Linked DNA regions of Mus musculus: all the other regions are reported to be linked to region 1. The links are microRNA targets in miRTarBase. Many come from high-throughput screens and were not tested one by one. Region 1 holds a microRNA gene; each other region holds the end of a gene's coding sequence.
What was found. Region 1 holds the annotated microRNA mmu-miR-30e-5p (UGUAAACAUCCUUGACUGGAAG, at 946-967, opposite strand). A microRNA usually pairs through its seed, bases 2 to 8, with sites in the 3' UTR of a target mRNA and lowers its output. Matches are read on the target gene's strand: a 7mer-m8 pairs with bases 2 to 8, a 7mer-A1 pairs with bases 2 to 7 and ends in A, and an 8mer does both.

Region 1 (3,095 bases):
CAGCAGCTGTCCTGAATAGGATGCCAATCAATAGCTCAAACACCTACAAAGAACTAAAACCAGGCAGCTAAAGGAGTGTTCTTGCTGTATACCTTTTAAAGGGAGATGGACTAAGTATAGTGGTCCATGCCTTGAATCCCAGCACTCAGGAGGCAGAAGCAGATAGATCTCTCCGAGTTCCAGAACAACCTGGTCTACACAGTCTAGTCTAGCCAGGGATACACAGGGAGAGCCTATCTCAAAAATCCAAACCAAACCAAAGAACAAAAGAGGGAGATGGGGTAGACCACCAGCAAATCTAACACCCTGACAGACCCAGAAGAACAAACAACTTTGGAGGAAGGTATAGGTCAGCAGCTCTCAACCTGTGGGTTGTGACCCCTTTGTGGGATGGAAAGATCCTTTCACATGGATCACCTAAGACTACTGAAAAACAGATAGTTGCATTAAAATTCATAACAGTAGCAAATTACAGTTATGAAATAGCAATGAAAAAAATTTTATTGTTGGGAGGTTATTACAACATGAGGAACTGTATTAAATGGTGCAGCATTAGGAAGGCTGAGAACCACTGGTATAGGATAATAACTTTCTCTTTAGTCATCTATTCAGCAGGCAGCCCATAGTGAACAATCAGTACAATAAGAGCAATGCCTGACTGCATCACAGATCTTACCACCTTGTCTTTAAAGGAAACTCCTGGTGGATACATGGGAGCAAAAATCCAATAAGGAAAACAGGCTCATGGTATTATCAGCTCCAAACGAAGAGAGACAGTCTGAGTTCTTGTGACTTCTCAGAGAGAAAGGAAGTAACCCAAGAAAAGGAGACAAGTTCATGGGCACAAACCTGCAATGTCTCAAAGCCGATGAGCGCAGCCGGGGACGACTGTGGCAGCCTGCCGCTGTAAACATCCGACTGAAAGCTCCTCTCAACACCTTACAGCTTCCAGTCAAGGATGTTTACAGTAGCAAAGACTGCCCAGAAAAATAAAGAGCTTCAGTGAGGCACAACCTGCTCCCATAAGGAGGTGACCCAGGGCTTGCTAACCCAAAAACCCTCATGCAGGGTCAGAATTAATGTCAATTAGGATGCCCACTTCTCCAACAGGTTTTCTGACTGGTTATTTGTACAGGTCAACATGGGGAGAATGGTTGTCATTAAATGACTCTAAACAGTATACTACAAAATAATTAGTTAAAAACACTTATATTTTATGAACAAAAATAAAACAAGCAGGACATGGTATGGCTTTACTTCTCTGAGGCATATTACACTAAACCTAGTGAATCATGCAAACTGCGTGCCTGAAACAATGAGCTCTATAGGACTGGGGTCTATCACAATCACAACTAAGTTATATGCACCCAAGTGCTGAACAAAACAAATGGTGTGATCTTTGGAGATGAACAGGCAGAAGAAGGGCAGACACTTAGTTCTTGTAATTAAAAAGAAAAATGTAAATGGTGGTTCTAAAACTTCACTGGACACCAAAGCATCTAGGGAACTTTAATTATTGATTCCTGGGGTCATGGGGTCATAGGTTCTGACTCAGTGGATGATGGGTAGAGTCATCACACTACAGAGACACAGCATAGAGTAAGAAAATAAAAGCCACTGGCTCCAATCTGATCACTATGCACAAAGAGGTTGTTTCTTAGAATCTGAAAACTGACTGGCTGAAAAAGCTTTTATTTTAGATGAAGAAATCCTGAACTGAGCTTCACCCCACTATCTGTGACTAGTCTTTTTAACTTTGTTCTCTCACTGCAACCCCACCCCAGAGGCACTGAGTTAAAAGTACCCATAAATGAGTAGAAGGAGATGCTGAGGATGATCTGGACTACGGAAGAGAACCACAAACAAGAAATGCTTTGGGTGGGAGGGAGGGAGGAGCTCCGGAGAGCATCTTGCCCAGGCCCTGGAGGTGGCAGCTGAGCAAATCCTCCCAGCTCACCTGGCGCTTTGGAGGTTTCAGTTCATCTCTTGGAACAATATCGATGAGAAAGTCGAACTGATCAAATTTTGTAATTGCCATGGCAATATCATTCCTCTGTAACAAAGAAAAACAAAGTTAAAAACTGGCCTAGGAAGAATCTAGTTCTTTTGGCTGTTATCCTTCAAGTAAAAGGACATGATCCTCTCCTATCCCCTAGTCCCAGTGTCTGGGATTAAACCTAGAGCTTTACACAAGCTAGACAGGTATTCTACCATTGAGCTATGCCCCAGCCCAAGGAGATGACTTTTAGACTGTACTAAAAATCTCTAGGTTTGTCTAGAGCTAAAAATAAGAACAGCTCAATTTATATCAGACTTGCTGGACAGAAATCAACGAAAGAGATACACATATCTCGTGCTCTAGGCCAGGACATCTGAGCCCTACTCACCACTATTTCTGCTTGTTCTGGTTTCAAAGCTTCCATAAAGTTGTAAAACCACCATCCTCTGGCTAATTCAGGACAAAGCCAGCAGTCTCAACTGGCATTCTGTGGTCCACAAGGTCAGCCCATCATTCACTTGTATGATCTTTTTAAAGGCCCTAAGCACTGTTTGTTGTTGTTGTTGTTGTTTTTCTTTTTACAGGCACTTATAATCCAGTCGCTTGATTTTTATGTTACCTATGGGTTTTAGTTTAGAAATCAAAACTGCACTGCTTAATGAATAGTTTAATCCGAATTTGAGCCTGAATACTCAAGCCTGAATTTACTATAGGTAGGTAGTGAACACAGAGCTGAAAAGAATGTCACAAGTGGACTTTCTCTTCAAGTCTGATATTATTCCCCTTCCTTTGAATAATAAAAATCAACACTTTTTCTCCCATATGATTTGTGTACTTTATTGAAAGTTTTAAGGTTAAAAAAACAAAAACAAAACCACTAAGCTCAAGTGAGTGATATAGTTAAGTATATATGGGAAAGTAATTTTTGAAATGTATTTAAAAATAGATCACTTTATGGCTGAAGTGAGAGGTATGATAAATTTGTTTTTCTTACTTTATTTATTTATTCATTCATTCATTCATTCATTCATTCATTTCCCCCCTTCCCTTCTTCCTCTTGCTCCTGGGCCCCACTTGCTCCCGGGACCCACTCACT
Region 2 (3,095 bases), not on the chromosome of region 1:
TCCATGGTGGTTTACTACCAGGTACTGACAGTGCTATACTAAAAGGTATTACTGCAGATGCAAAGATCGTTTAGAGGAATCAATGCAGACAGACAGGAGGGCGCGGGTGTAGGGGAGGGGCAAAGTTAGGAAGAGGGCATTCTTAGGTTCTTGGTTATGAGGCAGAGCTTCATTAAAAAGACCCCAGTGTGGACCGAGTGAGTGGCTGGGCAGCCACATCCATCATTCCTGACCCTAACAGTAAACCCACCCAGTTAGATCCAAATAGTTAAAATAGGAAGAAACCTGTTAACTCTATAGACTCACTTGTTTTTGCTACCAAACTGGAGCTGTAATTGCTAGCAAAGGAGGAGACTGGCTTACTCCCGCCTCGCATCTGGAATGCAGGGTTCTTGGATAGTGAAGACAGCTAGCGGAGGTTAGGACGGCCACTGCCACGATCTCGGCACTGTCCAGGTCGCTGAGCCTATGGACTTACAGCAGTAAGTTTTTCCTTTTCTGGCATGATAATGTAGAGAGTAAAAGATACACTGTCTTATTAAAAAATTAACCTCAGGTCCAAATAATGAAGACATGGAAAACAACCTATATTCCTATTATAATTTGATTTTCATTTATAAAAAAACTTATAGCAGCTGTAAAGTTCAGTTTCATAAAGACAATATGATCCTACAAACAGTCAAGGGATGGACACAGATGTCTCCTGTCTCCTAAGGAACACAAACTGAGGAGAACTATCTTTGCTTTCATTGGCCACATGAAAACTATTTCCACACTACTAAGAACCTCGAGAAACCTTTCTTCTCTTCGTCAACCTGCTCATTATGGCTAAAGACGACAGCTCAACAGCAAAAGCACAGAAGAGATGCTGATGAGACACCCACCTGAGCATTCAGGAGACCCAATTGGAACAGTTCAGTGCTTTCTTATTGTCAAGAGCTAGCACACCAGTCACTGTGCAAAATGCAAATATCCAATGATGGTTTCAGCAAATGTTGTGTAATGACAGGATGAAACGCAAGAGGAGTGACGTGTGCAGAGTGAGACATCAGAGATGCAATGGCAAGTAGGGAAGGAAGATGCAGAAAAGAACAAACGTGCATACTTAAGGGTTACGCTGTCTTTGGGTTTTCTAATGTGTTTTGAAGCCATAATGTCCAGGGTGTCTGTAAGTGTGACCCCAGCGGATGTCTTACCATGCTGTTCTAGCCGCGACTGTTAGGGTTAAGGCATTTACACACACGCCTCAGATCATCCTCATTCCCTGGGATTAGGAAGGACAGGACTGATGAAGAGAAACCAGTCAAGAAGGCAGGTGCTAAGGGCCCAGGAGAGCACCAGGTGCTCAAAGGTAGCAGCTGGAGTCTGGAGATGTTCCTCAGATGCAGGTAATGGTTGTAAGATGCAATGCTGCAAGAAAGGCAGGATAAACTTTAGTCTTTCGAGTCCTGTCCTGTCCTGCTGCCCGGGTGACGGTGTAAACGTCTGTTGTCTTTTTGATGAACTGAACTGACTTCTTCAGTGTGTGTATAGATTTATTAAAACTGCAGCTTTCCTGTGCGAAGATTAAACTGTAGAAGCTTCGAGACGGAGGTTTACAATGATGAGAATCTTTCACTTCTCAATAGGGACACACATTTTCAACTTAATAATTTACCTTAAAATAAATTAAAAATATTCCACAGAGCCAAACAAGCAGGCAGACTCTGGACAGGATCTTCTTGTCTTTGGTGCGCCACTCATTTTCTAACTCATTCAAGTAACAGCACTGACTTCTGCGGGAGAGATGGGAAGTCAACGTTTGAAGGCCAAAATGAGGTCTTTCCACTTTTGCCATGCCTGGATGCCTGAGATGGTCCTGAGTATCTACGATTCTGAGAGCAGCTGGTAGAGGTTAGGACAGATGAGGAGAGAGCAGGGGTGGGACCAGGGCGGAGGAACAGCCCGCAGCAGTCCTGGAGCCTCGTCTTCACTGGGTTCTGCCCAGACAGGAAAATTAAACACAGTGCAATGGGTTATAGTTTTTAGGTGGTGCCCAAAGCAAAGCTCCCACTTATTTCTGACATCCACTTGGTGCTGCTTAACTTCAAGAATGGAAGAAAATGGTCTTCAAGAAGAAATAAACTCCAGAATGTAAAATAGGCAGACAATCTTGCGTTTGCCTATTTTAAAGTGGTTATGGGTTTAATACTGTTCAGAGACTAGCATGTCCATTTGTGAGTTTCATTGTATAGACCAGGATTATGTTTTGAAAGTTAAAAGAAGAATCTATGTACCTCTCTTTCCTGCGGAGACGCAAGTCTCATGAGGACACTCAAGCTTTGTCTAAGCTCAGAGGTCAGTCTGGTGTTCTCAGCCCTCATCTGAGACCTAGTAGGTATGGGTGCTAATGAGGTGATACCAAGTCTCAGCATCAGAGTATAGCCCTGCCCACGGGAAAAAACCACGTAATCCAGTGGACAGTCTGTAAAGGCAAAGGCTGTAATACCAGATATACCACATTGTCCCATGAACTCCAAACCAGCAGTCCATAAGAACAGGTTCAAGGTCCAGAAGCATTCTTGCTATGGTGGAGATGGGGTGTATATCAGAAGGCAGAAAGGCCCAGGACTCATGTTAGCACTCAGTGTTCGATTTATTTGCAAGATGTCACACAAGTAGCATTCTCCCCTGCTTTTCACTGATCTGATTGAGAACATCAATAGTATCTTTGATCAAGGTCTCAAAGATCCCATCAGCCAGCTGCATCTTCACACACAACTCATCCTCATCATAGTTCACCCACTGTGCCTCCTCCTCGTGCAGCTCCTGGACCTGGATGTTAGAAGGCAATACGTTAGCAAGCCTGTCACCCAAGAGCTAGGAACTTACACCTCCCATGTACAATGTGTCCCAAAGAAATCATGTCAATACACCTTTAAAATTAGCATCGAAACTAAAATAGCTCCATTTGAACATGCTGGTATTCCAGCATTTTGTAGATAAGAGAGATAGACTGATTATAACCCATGTCTGTGTTAACACGAGTGAGTGCACACAGGAGCTTACAGGAAAGAGAAGCAGCAAGTTTAGATGGAGCCCTGCAAAGGAAAACT
Region 3 (3,095 bases), not on the chromosome of region 1:
CTGCCCACAGTCCTAAAGCAGAGGGGTGAATAGAGAAGGCCATGTCTATATCCCTGTAAACACAAAAGTCTATGTGGGGCAGGGGTTTTGTCCTATGCTTCCCTGTTTCCAGTCTTCTGTCTGTTGTGAAGCAGGTCCCTAAATGCTCTGCAGGGAGTGTATGAAATATGGAATGGATGGACAGATGGATGGATGGATAGATGGATGGATGGATGGATGAATTGATGGGTGGGTGGATAGATGGGTAGGTGAGTAAATAGATGGGTGGGGTGGATGGTGGATGTGTGGATGGATGAGTGGGTGGATAGATGGATGGCTGGGTGGGTAGGTGGGTAGGTGGATGGATGGATGGATGGATGGATGGATGGATGGATGGGTGGATGGGTGGATGGATGGGAGGTTGGGAGGATGGACAGTTGGATGGGTGAGTAGGTGAGTGAATAGTTGAATAAATGGGAGAATGAAGGAAGGAATGAAGAGATTAATGAAAGATGCCCTTGGGCTGATCTGGCCCAGGCAGCAGGAAGAGGAAACAGATGAGGAGAAGAAAGTGAAGGAAGAGACATGTCCATAGGTGATGAAAACTGCCTCTGACTGGGCACTTGGGCCACCCACAATGAGTGACTCACACTGGGAAGCAGGGCTCCCCTTTCCCTACCCATCCCTCCTAGTTGGCAGTCTAATTTAGTCACCCAACTAAACCTTTGTGTCCGAGCTGTTCATGGGCGTAGCCCTCTATTTTTGGCCACAGCATCCCTACTTCCCCTCTTAAGACTCTTAAGTCCCATCTGCGCGTCCCAGTGCCCACTGCTCTTTCAAGAGAAAAGAACCACTGGTGGGTTTGGGGTTATGGCCTGGGACAGAGCTGAGAGCAGATCAGGGCTCTGTTTGCTGTACCCATAGTCCCTACTGTCCTGACACATTTCCCACACACCGTGGAACCTGGCTTTGGGCGTGTATCCATCCGTGTATGTGTGTTTCCCCTTTTATGTCTCAAAACATTAGTACAAGAAGGGGGGATGAGTCATGGGTGTGCATACCACGAGCACATGCACAGGCGGAGGAGGGTGGGGTACATGAACTGAAATCTAAAGGATTCAGGCTGGAGAAGAAAGCCCTTCCTGCCATGATGATAATGGACTGAACCTCTGAACTGTAAGCCAGCCCCAGTTAAATGTTTTCTGCTATAAGAGTCACCTTGATCATGGGGTCTCTTCACGGCAATAAAACATTAACTAAAAAGTCATCCTTGACCACACAGCAAGTTCAAAGGCTAATCTGGGCTATAAAGAATCCCGTCATTTGTTTGTTTGTTGACACAGGGTTTCTCTGTGTAGCCCTGGCTGTCCTAGAACTCACTCTGTAAACCAAGCTGGTCTCAAACTCAGAGACCTGCCTGCCTCTGCCTCCCAAGTGCTAGGATCAAAGGTGTGCACCACCACCCAGCAAGAATTCTGTCTTTAAAAAAAATTCAAAGAAGTCACAAATAGCCATCATCCTACCACTCTGGGGGCAGCTTACCCTAGGAGTTGCTTCTGGCACAGTGTTAAGAGTTGTAAGAAGTGGCTGGAGAGATGGCTCAGTGGTTAAGAGTACCGACTGCTCTTCCGAAGGTCCTGAGTTCAAAGCCCAGCAACCACATGGTGGCTCACAACCATCCGTAATGAGATCTGAGGTCCTCTTCTGGTGTGTCTGAAGACAGCTACAGTGTACTTAGATATAATAATAAATAAATCTTTAAAAAAAAAAAGAGTTGTAAGAAAAATCATTTGGGCAGATCAAACCATTGGTAGCTACTGCAGCCTGGAAACACAGTCATCTTTGATGCAAGTTTAAAATCACCCTGGTAAGAAAACACTCTTGTGTGTTCCATCAAGAACAGCAGTTGGTATGTCCTTCCCAACCCCTTGAACCCCAAAGGCTCCTCTGACTTCAAAGCTGGGCTTTAATAGGGGGCTACAGGCATGTAACAGACATCATTTAAACCATTTCTTCTCCCTTTAAAAAGGTATTTTAGGGCTGGAGAGATGGCTCAGTGGTTAAGAGCACTGACTGCTCTTCTGAAGGTCCTGAGTTCAAATCCCAGCAACCACATGGTGGCTCACAACCAAACATAGTGAGATCTGATGCCCTTTTCTGGAGTGTCTGAAGATAGCTTCAGTGTACTTACATATAATAAATAAATAATCTTTTTTTAAAAGATATTATAAACTTTATTTCATCTTTTACTTAAGAATTCAGAGAAGCCAGGCATTGTGGCACACACCTTTGGAGGCAGAGGCAGGCAGATCTTTGTGAGTCTGAGGCCATTCTGGTTTACAGAGTGAGTTCCAGGACAGCCAAAGCTACACAGAGAGACCCTGTCTCAAAAAACAAAAAATAAAAATAAAAATGAGTCCAGAGGAATTTGCCCCTGACCTTGGTGCCACGGGCCAGGCTTTTGTCCTCAGAGCTTAGGTTTTTTTCTCTGTGAGATGAAGGAGTTGGTGTTTAGTACCTCCATGACTCCCCTTCCTTTGTAGTCTCATGGGTCCCCCACTTTCCCAGTGACCACAGATGTTCTTCCTGGACTGACACTACAAAGCTAACTAACACAAGTACCGTTCTATACGAACCATGTCAATTCCCAGAGCCCCAAAAGAGCAGCATCGATGTCTTCCACACCCAGAGGCAGAACAAAATACAGGCTAAGAGGAGAGAGCCAGTGGGATGAGACTGTGCCCACAGAGCCCTGGCTCCTGCTCATCTTTAGTGAAGCCACTGAGGCTCATGACATTGAGGGCAGCAGCCAGCAGGGAGCCTTGGAACCTGGTAGTCACCACTGAGAGGATCAGGTGACAAGGAGTCACAGGTAAAGGTCAGAGAGTCCTTTTCTGGGCTTCTGGATCTCACTGTACTCTGCTTTCTGGTCCTGAGGTTGATGAAGAGAATCTCCATTGGCGTGAGAATCCTGCCTCTGGGAGTTGAATGCCACGGATGAATAGTGAAGCTCTTCCTGGGGTAATGCCTGTAGAGAGAGACCCCAGACTCATGGCTACAGGAGAAGGGCACATACCCTGGACCTCAACTGCCTCATTGGCCCACCTGGTCAAGCC
Region 4 (3,000 bases), not on the chromosome of region 1:
TCACTACTGACTGTAGGCCCAGCTCTGGTCCAGCTCTTGCCCAGTGCTCCTGCCTTTGCTACCTAGAGCTGAGGATACAGGAGTGAGTGTAGCACACCAGCCTGCTTTCAGCACTTGCATTTTACCTGTTCCTTCTTTTTTTCAGGCACACAGTAATGAAGTACTTATATTTTCAGTTCAACCAAAATCTCTTGTACGGTAAGTATTTGGCACCAGGTATATGACTATTTAAAGGCATTAGTCTTCATTCAAGTTATCTAGTAAAATTATCTATCTAGTAAAATTATTTTCACTTTCCTTGTCTACTTTAGGCTAAGCTTAGAAGCAGTCATCTGCTTTAAAGAGATGCTAGCCAACTCGTGGAGCTGCCTTCCAAAACACTTACTTCACAGCGTTAATCAGAGGTTTGGTAGTAACAACACTTCTGGATCATAAAGCTTTGTAGATAATACTTCTTCTGGTCCACTTGCATGGAGAACAGCCCCGTACTTGTCACACAGTGTCATCCTTTGTATAATTATATGCATCGTTGTAGTTTGCAGCTTCCTGGGTTTTATGTGCATGTGAATGGCCTAGAGAACCTATTTTTGTGTCTAAAGTTTACAATAAATGTATTTAACACCAGTACCTGTCTATTGTTAAAGTTAAAAAAAATTACTGTGTTGGCTTTTTTTTTTTTTAACGATTTATTTATGTATACTGAATGGTGTTTTCCTGCATGCCTGAGGGTGTTGGATTCCCTGGAACAGGAGTTACAAGCTGCAATGTGGGTGCTGGCAACTGTACGTGGGCCCTGTGGAAGAACAGCCAGTGCTCTTAACCCCTGAGCCATCTCTCCAACCCCTGCATTGACTTTTTATCCCACGTCTGGGTATAACAATTTTAACATTTATCTTTTGATAATGTGGATGTAATGTAACTGTAGAAATGTGAAGATGCTCCATCTGTATGTAGCCTTTAACCTTATGTAGCTAAGGCTGGTCTTGAATCAGTAACCCTCTATCTTCCGCCCCCTCAAGCACTGCAACTCAAAGTGTGCTGCCACCCTGGGTGTGTATGCTGGGGCGGCAGTGAGCCTTAGACAGCCCAAGCTGCAATTAATGCACTGCTCCAACCTTCAAGTGTTGGTGTAGTCCTGGGACATGTGATGGTCATGGCTACTACCCAGTTAACTAAAAAGTGGCAGCTTATACCTCATGAACAGAGAAATCATGTATGGCTTCATTCTCTATTCTGATAGGAGCCAGAAGAATACTGGTCCAGGAATCTTTAGTGATAAGCCTAAAAGCCAAAAAGCATCTTTGACCTTTCCCAGACTCCAGACAGTTTCTCTCTGTAGCTTTGGCTGTCCTGAGCTCAAACTCACAGAGATCTACCTGCCTCTGCCTCCCCAATGCTGCCAGCACCACCCAGCAAGAAAATGCACTTCTGTTATTACAGGTCAAGATACTTGAGCCCAGTGGTGGTGATGCACGCCTTTAATTCCAACACTCGGGAGGCAGAGGCAGGCGGATCTCTTGAGTTCAAGGCCAGTCTGGTCTACAGAGAAACCCTGACTTGGAAAAACCAAAATCACTTAAGACAGTTTTAACTCTTTGACAGCTGCTGGGGGTTGGGAGAGAAAATGGCAAACAACTGAGAGATATTACAAGGAAGAAGTTAGGGAGGAAAGTGATAGATATGAATACACGGAAACAACTGTCATTTTCTTGTGTTATTTTTTTTTGCATTTGATGTAAAATTTGGCAAAGTGTTCAAGACACAAATCTTAAATGTTTAATTGTTCCATTAACCAAACGAAACCTCTCGTGACTGGCTGTACTATGTATTAGATGTTATATACAGTAGACCACTACGTCAGTAGTTTATGCACTTGAGCTATTTCAGGGTCGTTACATCATGAAATGAAACCTCAAGAAGTTCAATAAAATGTAGAACAATACAATTACAGATGTGTATCATTAAGTTTTCACAAATATTTTAGGAAATACTATCATAGTTTATATAGATATATATAAAACTTGGGAAAAAATCTTAAGTCCTTTTGGTGATAGCAAGGCAGTATGTTCATTTGTAAAGTGGAAGTCCTGTTAACACGTCTGCATCGTTGACCTTCCAAAGGCTACAAACTGGCTGTTCAGTGCTGAGGCTCTCATCCCAGCTATTTCCTCTTCACATGCAGAAGATTAGGTGCGGACACTTTTACTTTTCCAGGAATGTTTCTTGATAAATCTGTGTCCTAAAACAAACAAACAAAAAGTACGTAATATTGTCATATCCTATTTAGGGTAATTACGTGTACTCTACTGTCAGGAGAAAGGCACTTACAGCTTTTGCCAAGTAAACCTACTTAGGGTCCTGGGGAGACAGCATTGTGTCAAGACAACAGACAAGAGCTGAAGGGAAACCTTACCTTCACACTTCGGAATAAGTCTTTTTCTCTTGCTGTGGCTTCTTTGGAGTGCATGAAACTGTTCAAGGCTGTCTTCGCAGCTGTAAGGAGAGCACACAAGAATGTACTTCTGGTTTAGTCACTAAACTATTTAAAAATCACACACACACAAAAAAAAACACCTAAATTACCTTTCCCCTTTTTCTGAACTCCAGGTGTAAGTTTCACTTTGTATCTTAAAAAAAAAAAAAAATTGTACCAGTTACTACATGGAGATCAAAGATTCCTAAAGCTACTTGGCAATGAGTATGAGCGAGACAACAGTGACTTACTTATAGTTTGTCATGATGGTGTAAGGGGCACATATTGGAATAGCAAACATCAGTACATCCTCAGGATGTGGCTGCCCTGTCAAAGAGTCAAATAGATTTTCCTAAAGGAGAAAGAAAATTATAAAAGGAATTTATGCCAAACTTGAAAAGAACAGTAGATGCTGGGGAGGGGTGCTGTTGAGTAGTAGAACCCTTGCCTAACATGCAATCTGTTCAGATCACACCATCATAAAGCCAAGATCTAAAACAACAAATCAGTTTCTGAATACTCTTAGC
Region 5 (3,095 bases), not on the chromosome of region 1:
AGCAGAGGCAGGCGGATTTCTGAGTTGGAGGCCAACCTGGTCTACAGAGTGAGTTCCAGGACAGCCAGGGCTATACAGAGAAACCCTGTCTCAAAAACAAACAAACAAACAAACAAACAAACAAAAAAACAAAAAACAAACCAAACAAAAAAACCCAAAAAACAAAACAAACAAACAAAAAAATCCTTTATGCTTGGAAAGGATTCCAGCATTTGGAAGGCTGAGATCCACCATGCTAAATAAACCACAGTGCATTATGATGCCCGTTTTTCAGATAAAGAAACTGGAGCTCAGAGAGGTAAAATCAGCCATCATGGATTTCCTCCATTGTAAGCAGCTGGCCTTGGGTTTGAATTCAAGTGTGGTGGACACTGGAGACACGGCTTTGGGCAACCAAGGATGTAGCAAAGTGACCGAGCTGCGGCTCCTCTTCCTGCCTTTGTGCAAAGTCTCCAGGACAGCAGAAAGGCTCCCACTCATAGGCTCGCCTGGTGTCTAGGGAGTCACTGCCCAGCTGTACTCAGCCCTAGCATAACAGACCAGAAGGTGGGCTAAGGACAAAGAGGGCTACTTCTAACAAGGGCAGATGTAAGGTTCAATGTGAGCCTCGTCTTTGGGCCGGCAGGAGTGCAGAGCAGCTGTAGAAGGCTGACATCTGGTTCTTGTTCAGCCTGTGCCAGGTCCTAGGACCTGTGCCCAGCAGGTTCAGGAGACACATACACATCACAGTGACAACACAGCATGTGTTCTGAACCAGGTCTAGACTCAGGGTTACCAGTGCCACTTGTGATTATACCCATTTTCTAGATGAGGGTGCTGGGTGGGGTCCAGAGTAGCTCAGAAACCTACCCACAAACTTGCCATTAGGAGTGAGCCAGGGGGATGGCTGGGATTTGAACCCTCTTGCCTGCTTTAGTCATTGTCACATATCCCATCCCCAGAAAGTCAACTGGTAATGGGCTTTCCCAGGAGCCCAGGGCAGCTTTCATAGCTAGGCTATCCCCAGGAAGGGGAGTGTTATGTTAACAGTCAGGAAACCTAGCAAAGCCAAGGGCCAGGGAACAAAGCCAGCATGAAGATGGACACAGGTCCCCCAGGGCCTAGGATGGTACCTTGAGAAGACCAGCCTCATCATCCATGGCCCCTACAAACCACCCTCCTGAGGAACAAAACCACCTGCTGAGGAACAGTCACTCAGACATGTCAGGAAAAGATGTCTCACACAGGGGACAGGTGTAAAACAGAGGCTTTAATCCAAATAGCAAGGAAGGCGCAGGGCTGGGGACGCAGGGACAGGGAAGGGAGCCAGGAAGGCAGTGGCCTGGCCCTGGAAGGAAGCTGGCACTGGGCTTTTCCTGGGGAACTGCCTGTGACTCTGATGACTTCAATCCCCGCTCTGCCCAGACCATAGTTAATTCCTGGCCAAGCCCCTGAGTTGTGCTTCTCAGTGTCCACTCCACAAAGCTAAGCGGGCACAAACACAGGATGGGCAGTGAAGAAGGGCAGGCCCAAGTGGGACAGGAAAGCCTGCAGGTTCCAGTTCAGCCACACGCTGAGAGAAAACTGGTGACTGTGGCTAGGTCCCCTTAGCAGCCCTACCCATTCTGAGTCTATGCCTAGGCCCAGGCCAGCACTTCCCTCATCTCACAGAGGGAAGTGGGAGGAGGGGGCTGCTACCTTCTTTGCTCTCCCACACGAGCCACAAACCGACCCAAGGGAGCGGAGCAGCAAGCCAAGGCCTCGGGGGAAGCTTCAGACACTCAGCAGGCAGAGGCAGCAGAATCAGCAGGCCTGAGACTGACTGGAGAAAACTAGGTTCTCCACAGACACAACAGTCCTACTGCCTCCCGGAGTCTCTTCCTCTCCCTGCTTGACAGCTCTGGAAAGTCAGATCTCACCCAAGCAATGGGCTTTCCCAGGAGCCCAGGGCAGCTTCCATAGCTAGGCTATCCCCAGGAAGGGGAGTGTTATGTTAACAGTCAGGAAACCTAGCAAAGCCAAGGGCCAGGGAACAAAGCCAGCATGAGGATGGACACAGGTCCCCCAGGGCCTAGGATGGTACCTTGAGAAGACCAGCCTCATCATCCATGGCCCCTACAAACCAACCTCCCCCAACCCCAGCCCTCCCAACAGCTGATGACAGCCTCACCCTTCAGCTCCATAGCAGATACCCAGTGGAACACAGCTAGCGGGGAACCCACCAGCCGGCCCTGGAGGCACGGAACTCCTGCTCTTAATGAGGGAACCATTACATCATGGGGAGGAAAGGGGGAGCAATGACAAGAGCAGGGTGTCCTTGTCTCCTCCACATGGGCCTGACCGTGGGAGGAAGCAGGAGCACAGGGATGGGCAGGGCCGGGGACCACGTCCAGGCCCCTCTCTTCTTACTCGGCCACCAGACGGAGGACAGTCAAAAACTGGGCACACTGTGGTCAATTCCCCCAACTCAGGCCCTGCTTAGCACCCATCTCAGTAAACAGCCTCTCATCAAACAGAAAGAACAGAAGGTGGGCGGGAGGGGTGCTGGGTCACAGAGAGCACAGGAACCTGGCCAGGGTGGCTCTGGTAGTTCAGCCTCTCCTAGCCTGATGTGACGGGATGGATGGGCAGCAGGCTCCCGAACTTGAAGTGCTGGATCACAGGGAACTTCTCCAGGCACTGAGAAAGGAGGGGAAAACCAGGGAGGTGAGGCCTGTCTCGCCTCCTGCATCCCCAGTAACCCAGACAAACATGAGGTTTCCAACTGCAGCCACCTCCACGGGAATCCACCTGTGCTGGAGAGCAGCCCCCGGCCTAGGAGGAAGGTGATCTCGTTCACCTCATCCCCACCTCCCACTCAAAGGCACCCATACTCAGCAGAAGCCAAGACAGGCAGCTAAGAGACATCACTTGACCCAGAAGGGATGAGCCATAAGAAATGACAAAGGTCCCCCCACCCCCACCCGAATCCTGACCCTAGCAGTATAGGGACATCTGAACACAACTGAGAAGAGGCTAGGGCCTACTTTCTGTAGTCTTTGGCCTCAAAGACATCTTGACTCTTCAGAGTGAGACAACAGGAGTGGGCTGACACTCCTGCCCTACCTTGGCAGCAG
Region 6 (3,095 bases), not on the chromosome of region 1:
ACAAAACTCAGATCATCAGCCTTGACAGCCAGTACCTTTACCAGCCAAGCCCCTCTTGCTGTCCCTGTTTTACATTTTCATTAGTTTAAAAGCTAGACCAGAAGCTGGTGCCTAGACATAGTACTTTCTTATGAAATGATGCAGTTTTAACATACTCTCCTTGAATTTTTCAACACTCAGGATCGAATCCAATGACCTGCCTCTGCTGACGGCCATCGCCAGCACTCACTCTCCGTACGTGGCACAGATCCTCTTATAGCCGACTACAGGACAGCTCTCATTGGAAAATGAGACAGGATGGAGGGTGCTCTCAGTGACGGCAGAGGCGTGAGAACACGGAGCAGGCACCCCTCGTTGTTCCTGTGGCTGCTGCCTAGTGGCTCTTACATTGGGAAGCTTGTGTCTACTCCATGCAGTGGGAGTTTGTGATTGTTCAGGAACAGTCGACATTGTCTCCCAGGAATCAAAAGAAAGTAACCTTTCTGGCAGGAGGGAAGTGTAAGCAACACTGTCAAACTAGACAGACGTGCCCATGCTGTTGGGTAGAATACTGAGGGCTGACTCTGAGTAGTGGGTAACCAATGTCTAGAACATTCCAGAAGGAAAGTGTTTCCTGTTCAAGCGTGAGAGAGCATGAAGAGTTGCTCTAAGAACGGGTTGTGGCTTCTAGGTCAGAGCTCTTCTACGAACATTGACCTGAAGAAAGCCATGTTGTGCCACTGTCAGCCTGGAGCTCCAGCAGCTACTGTTGGACATAGGATGTGGAAGAGGGTTGCCTATTGAGAAGAGAGTGCTCCAGAAACCCACGGTTGTCACTTCTCAGAGCTTCCTGTAGACTCAGCACAGCCACCTGCAGGTCTGCGAGGGACTCAGTGTAGCACCCTGTCCTGCCGGGTATTTTGGAGGACGTAGTCTGGCACTGGGAACTCATCTCTGGCTTTAGTATCTTTAGCCTTCTCCAGAAAGACCTTTTACCAAAGTTGTTTCCATGAGCTCAGGCGATCTTCTGTGGCTGAGCTCGCCCAGCGCAAGCCTCTTTCTTCCTAGCCGGCTGTGCAGATGTCTGTTTGTGCTGTATGGGGCCGCTGCCAGCTGGGGAGTGGACTTGCTCTGATAAGGATAGCAGGCAGCCCGAACATTTATGTGATCCACAAGCGATCTAGGTTTTTATATGATCAGTTCTGCACTTTTTAATCCCTCTCATATTCTTTAAAAAAAAATCTTTCTAGAAATTAACTTGACCATTTGTAAAACTTACCAAAGTGACGAACTGTAAAAACCCAACTGATCATTGAACCTACAGAACCTTAGTTTACTGACCATAAGACAGTCCATGTTCAAATACTTTAAAAACAAAACTTCTGCTGTTTAAAAGACAGGAGCCAGTCAAGTAAAGTCAAACCCTGTGGGCTCCTCAGTCCTTCCCACCAGTCCCTGGTGCCTGAGAATGTGGGACAGCAAATCCTGATCCATGTGACATGTCTGTCTCCTCATTACAAATACAAGTTAGTGGAGACCATGTGCCCCTTACGCTACTGGGGACGAATGCCTACATCATCTCTTAGAAGTGGGCCGGAGTGTGGACGCTCTGGACCCCCTCCCTCCCTTTCCTCTCTTCCTCCCCCTCTCGCCCTGAGCATCTCTCATTTTTTGTGATATGTAAAAATAGGTGGTTCTTCCAGGCCCTTAAGATCTTTAATTTGCATTTTTGTGTTTCACAAAGTTGAAGTGTCCTATTCTTTTACATCTCTTTCCACTTTCTATCACCTGGCATTTGTTTGCTGTTTTCCATTTCCTGGCTCCATGGTACCATTGTTTGCCAGGGAGCCCCACATGTGGCCCGCTGAGCTGTCAATGCAGATTTCCTAGACACCGGTGCCAGCTTAGAGCTCGCCCTTCTTTCTCCTGGCTTCTCTCGTTTACACATGGACTCGGCCTCACCAGCTCCTGAGGATTGGGAGAAAATAGCTCAGTACAGAATCAGTTTGGTCCTCGTGCAGATGTAGTGACATGTTGACAGCTAGACTCGGGGAATTGAGCTGTCACCAGGTTAATTCTCAGCTTCATGAAGAAAGACTTAGCCCAGCACTTCAAAGCCTGAAAAAAATTAAACCTGCCTCTTAATCTAGTGTTCCAAATTTCAGAAGAAAAGTGGGAAACCCTGGGCTCACGTGGGTTATCTCAGCGCCCCACCATCACTTGCAAGAAAGATGCGCTGCTCTTCTCCTGGCTCCCCCGGTGCGGGCGATGACGATGACGTGTCCTTTGTCTTAAATTCATCCTCTTCTCAGAGGCGGGGAAAACAGTAAACAAAGCATCTCATGGACCTGTGCTGACGCGGATGCTGTCATTCTGTCATAGCCGAAGAGTCCGAAAAGGTGTCCCACCTAGGCATAACTCAAGGGGAAAAATCTTTTTTTAATGTTTAAAGAAATCTACCTCAGTTGACAGGATTCCACCTGCCCTAGGGTTTCTTCAGCTCTTCAGTCTTACCTGTTAGGTGTCACTGGGCAGCGCTCTGCTTGTCTGACCAAGCAGGCTGGCGAGGCACAGCCGAGCAGAAGTGTCTCAGTGTCCTGTAATGACCTCTTCTAGCATGTTGCAGTTTTATATTTGTTAAGTTGATAAGTGATATGAATGTATAGGCAATTGTGTATGTTTTCAAAAAGGACAATGAAAATTTAAAATGTAGCTTCCACACTTGTGCATAATTCCAAAGTATCTTATTTTATCAGTGTTAAATAGCTTTTGTACAGCTTCAGCCCATTTTCCAGACGTGTGCTGTTTTATACGGGAAGTAACTCATGATCTCACTCACGGAGCTGTGTTTACACATCGCAAATTTTTAACTTAATGTGTTTTTCAGAATTAACTTTTTTGGAGGGAGGAAATTCCCCACTTGCTAAATGATACTAAACTGTTGTCTGGACTCTTAAGAATCAGGTCTTTGGATTTTATAAACTAGTCTGTAGCTTTTTAGGTTCTTCATTGGTTGGATGTACATAGAGAATATAAAACAACTCTCAGATTCTTTTAAGCGTCTGAAGTTTTCCTTGGATGCACACTCGGTCGGGTATTATGTTCACGCAGACTTT
Region 7 (3,095 bases), not on the chromosome of region 1:
CTGTCTCCACCCATACTCTACCCTTAATATTATTGTAAGCATTAGCACTGCCAAGGATGAGAGCATGAAATTCCACTCCAGGCCCTACAGCAAGATGCTGGTGGCCTTGGCAGTGACGAAGGTGAAGGAGGGGTGCTTGTGGCTCAGCTCTGTTGCAGCAGACCAGCTTGTGGTACACTCACCCAGACCGGAACAAGCTAACAGGCTCCCTCTGTCTTTCCAGGTGGGTTCATCAGCTTTAATGGCTCCTGGAGGGTCCAGGGAATCCTAGCCATGTCTCGATCCCTGGGAGACTATCCACTGAAAAATCTCAACGTGGTCATCCCAGACCCAGACATCTTGACCTTTGACCTGGACAAGCTGCAGCCGGAGTTCATGATCTTGGCCTCAGATGGCCTGTGGGATGCTTTCAGCAATGAAGAAGCGGTTCGATTCATCAAGGAGCGCTTGGATGAGCCCCACTTTGGGGCCAAAAGCATCGTCCTGCAGTCCTTTTACAGAGGCTGCCCTGACAACATCACTGTCATGGTGGTGAAGTTCAGGAATAGTAGCAAAACAGAAGAGCACTGAACCCTGCCAGATCTCAGCTGCCCCAAACTAGAGGACTCTCAACATACTGTTCTCTTCATGTAGTAAAAGGTGTGGGTATAATTAGGATCATGCGTCCCAACACAGAACCCCCTTCCCTGATGGCCTTGAATCCCTTTGGAGTACTGAGCAGAGGGTTCCCTTGCTGACACCGCAGAGGCTGCTAAGTTTGTGTCCCCCCAGCCCTTCTATCAGTGTTTGAAACACATACATAGGTAGCCACAGATCCCACATATGAGGCAAAGGAAAGGCAGGCCATATGTTTTCCTTCTTAATAATGTACTTTTCATGATCTCTTCTGTGGTCCTTCAGGGACCTGACTTGGCGTCCTCTCTGAACCTGGGCAGGGCAAGCTGGTGATGCCAACACTTCACCATGACAATGAGGTGGCCATGCCCTCTGCCTTGAAGCAGTTTCCTCAGAAATGCTCTCCCCTTCTGAGTCTTGGTCTTCAGTACTCCAGCATCCTGGAAGGAGACATGCAACACTTTGTAATTTGTTGCCTGCTCTTAGAGACTTGAGAGTTGGGAAGCCAGTGCAGCTTCCTGCACGCCAGACCTCCCCGCTTCCGCTCGCTTCCTTCATTAGTTCAGTAGAGTCGGGATGCAGTTAGCCAGCCCTTACGCCTCTCATGGAGTGCAGCCTCGCCATTTGTTCACACCTTACGATGCATCGAGGGCTGCCGCTGACCTCACCGTGAGACGTGAGTTTTTGTCTCCCCTCACCAAGACTCCCCAGAGAGGGGAGGAAGCAGGACGGAAAGCACATCGCAGTACAGTATGCCCTTCCATCTTCAAGGAGGAATTAGGCTGGGATGGTTCTCCATGACCTTTTGAAAATTGCTGTCTGCACTGGAGAGGAAGGCAGGAGTCCTGGGGTCACCAGTCACACTCACCAACTGCTGGTTTCTGCACAGCCCTTCCCAAGCCCACCCTACCTAGTAGCTTTCATGCCTTTCAAACAGAGGTGGGAGAAACAGCAACCTAGAATCACCCACGGGTGCTGTTCCCAGCTACCACCACAAGTTGGTATCGGGGCGCAAACTACTGGGACGTGCTTCCTGGCAAGAGAAAGACCTTTCATGGTCAATTGCAAATCTCTGTCCATACCCAGGCAAATAGGAACTGTCTGCTGTGACCTGGAGGGAAAGAGCAGACTGGCTCCTGGGGACCTGTGTGCACTGGTTGGGAGTTCAAGCAGGAACCCTCAGAGATAAGCAGCAGAGTTATTTGGGGCCTAGATTACTGCTCTTCCCTTACTAACACCAAAGTTGTGGGGGTTTTTTTCCCAGTCTCTGTACTTTGTAAGTTAATTTATAGGACATATTAGATTGTCCTGTTTGCTGATTGAACCAGCCCCAAAGAGCCACGATTTTCATTGCAGACCTACACCAGAGCCGGCCTTGTTTTGTTCTCTCAGAGAGGCTGTGTGTCGGCATGACTTCTCAAGCCCTGCTCATTAGCTCTCCCTACCCCGGCCCTCTCCTTCAGCTGCAGAGCTTGTAGGAAGCCGAGTCTGGAGAATGAAAGACTTGGACTCTGAGGACTGCAAACTGTCTGGATTCCTCTGGGAACTTGCTTTCCTTTGGCTGCATCAAGAATTAATAATGGCTTCCCAGGAAATCTGCTTACTTTTGTATCTTGTGTTTTCAACATTGGAATTAGGGTCTTTTCTGCTTCTCAGAATGTTTTAGTACAAAACACATTCTATCATGTTAGACAGAAGCATTGATTGTGGAGAGACGTGCACTGATGGGTGTGTATTATGGGTTAGGTGGGTGGGGAACAGAGAAGTCAGGTGTGGGTTTAACCAGTGATGGGATGAGCTTGTTGGCTTAGGATGCTCTTACCAGAGAGTACCCAAAACCCATCTTCTAACTAAAGGTCCAGACTCAACAGCCTATACAGTCAACTTCCCTTCTGTATTTGCTTAACACAAAAGTATATAACAAGAGGAAAAAAATAAATAAATTTGAGACACAAATGTTTGGGTGAAGAAAAAAAGAAAACTGCCAAGTTAGTTGGTTGGTACTCCTTGAGCAAGCAGGGTTTCTTAACCAGCATTGCTGAACCCCCCTAGTTCCAGAGCCTTCTAACTGAGGTTTATAGATATAGATATTATAGATCGATCTTGTACATTTGATCTTGATTTATAGATCTTGTACATTTTGCTTTGCAGAAGTAACTTATTTAACCAAATAGGAAAAAAAAAAGAATATATTTCACTCCTTTCTTGCCTCTTCCCCCCTCCCGTGGCTTGTAGACTTTTTTAAAGATAGAAATTCTAGGCAAAATGGTAGTATTTTGATAAGTAGTTACACATAAGGCCAGAGTAGCTCTTCTCTGTCCCCTCCTGACCTGTGTTCAGCTGTGGGGAGTCTACAGTTTGGTGTGGGCTGGGTGCTCTGGCCACTCCCCTTCTCTAGCAGCTCTGGAAGGGTGACTCTAGCTGCAGGAGACTCGGGTTTGAGAGGGTACACGCGAAGCTTCCATAAACAGCACTGCCAA

Region 2: the mRNA of Cep350 is a reported target of mmu-miR-30e-5p. Seed matches in the 3' UTR shown: 7mer-A1 at 1,477-1,483.
Region 3: the mRNA of Cd300a is a reported target of mmu-miR-30e-5p. The part of its 3' UTR that is shown has no 7-base or 8-base seed match.
Region 4: the mRNA of Klhdc2 is a reported target of mmu-miR-30e-5p. Seed matches in the 3' UTR shown: 7mer-A1 at 599-605.
Region 5: miRTarBase lists Ptpa as a target of mmu-miR-30e-5p. Seed matches in the 3' UTR shown: 7mer-m8 at 2,473-2,479.
Region 6: the mRNA of Fnip2 is a reported target of mmu-miR-30e-5p. Seed matches in the 3' UTR shown: 7mer-A1 at 1,918-1,924 and 8mer at 2,826-2,833.
Region 7: the mRNA of Ppm1l is a reported target of mmu-miR-30e-5p. The part of its 3' UTR that is shown has no 7-base or 8-base seed match.

Annotation. Positions count from the first base shown.
Region 1 is chr4:120,771,715-120,774,809 of GRCm38, forward strand. Mir30e (microRNA 30e) reads right to left here and starts at 983; the gene lies at 892-983. It overlaps Nfyc (nuclear transcription factor-Y gamma), which reads right to left. Exons shown (of 10, transcript NM_008692.4): 5 at 1,958-2,053. It overlaps Mir30f (microRNA 30f), which reads left to right and starts at 892; the gene lies at 892-983.
Region 2 is chr1:155,845,914-155,849,008 of GRCm38, forward strand. It overlaps Cep350 (centrosomal protein 350), which reads right to left. Exons shown (of 38, transcript NM_001039184.1): 38 at 1-2,814. The coding sequence ends at 2,650. Among named protein-coding and RNA genes, the nearest start is that of Gm51652, 19 kb to the right of the region's middle.
Region 3 is chr11:114,901,041-114,904,135 of GRCm38, reverse strand. Cd300a (CD300A molecule) reads right to left here. Exons shown (of 7, transcript NM_170758.4): 7 at 2,190-3,007. The coding sequence ends at 2,846. Among named protein-coding and RNA genes, the nearest start is that of Cd300a, 13 kb to the right of the region's middle.
Region 4 is chr12:69,309,842-69,312,841 of GRCm38, forward strand. Klhdc2 (kelch domain containing 2) reads left to right here. Exons shown (of 13, transcript NM_027117.3): 12 at 146-198; 13 at 312-846. The coding sequence ends at 435. Nemf (nuclear export mediator factor) reads right to left here. Exons shown (of 33, transcript NM_025441.3): 30 at 2,725-2,825; 31 at 2,584-2,627; 32 at 2,414-2,493; 33 at 1,702-2,239. The coding sequence ends at 2,162. Among named protein-coding and RNA genes, the nearest start is that of Klhdc2, 15 kb to the left of the region's middle.
Region 5 is chr2:30,445,940-30,449,034 of GRCm38, reverse strand. Ptpa (protein phosphatase 2 protein activator) reads right to left here. Exons shown (of 10, transcript NM_138748.5): 10 at 1,228-2,658. The coding sequence ends at 2,581. Among named protein-coding and RNA genes, the nearest start is that of Ier5l, 27 kb to the left of the region's middle.
Region 6 is chr3:79,456,827-79,459,921 of GRCm38, reverse strand. It overlaps Fnip2 (folliculin interacting protein 2), which reads left to right. Exons shown (of 17, transcript NM_001162999.2): 17 at 181-3,095. The coding sequence ends at 259. It also overlaps a transcript of Gm17359 not described here. Among named protein-coding and RNA genes, the nearest start is that of Gm36442, 54 kb to the left of the region's middle.
Region 7 is chr3:69,552,605-69,555,699 of GRCm38, forward strand. Ppm1l (protein phosphatase 1 (formerly 2C)-like) reads left to right here. Exons shown (of 4, transcript NM_178726.3): 4 at 224-2,800. The coding sequence ends at 570. Among named protein-coding and RNA genes, the nearest start is that of B3galnt1, 45 kb to the right of the region's middle.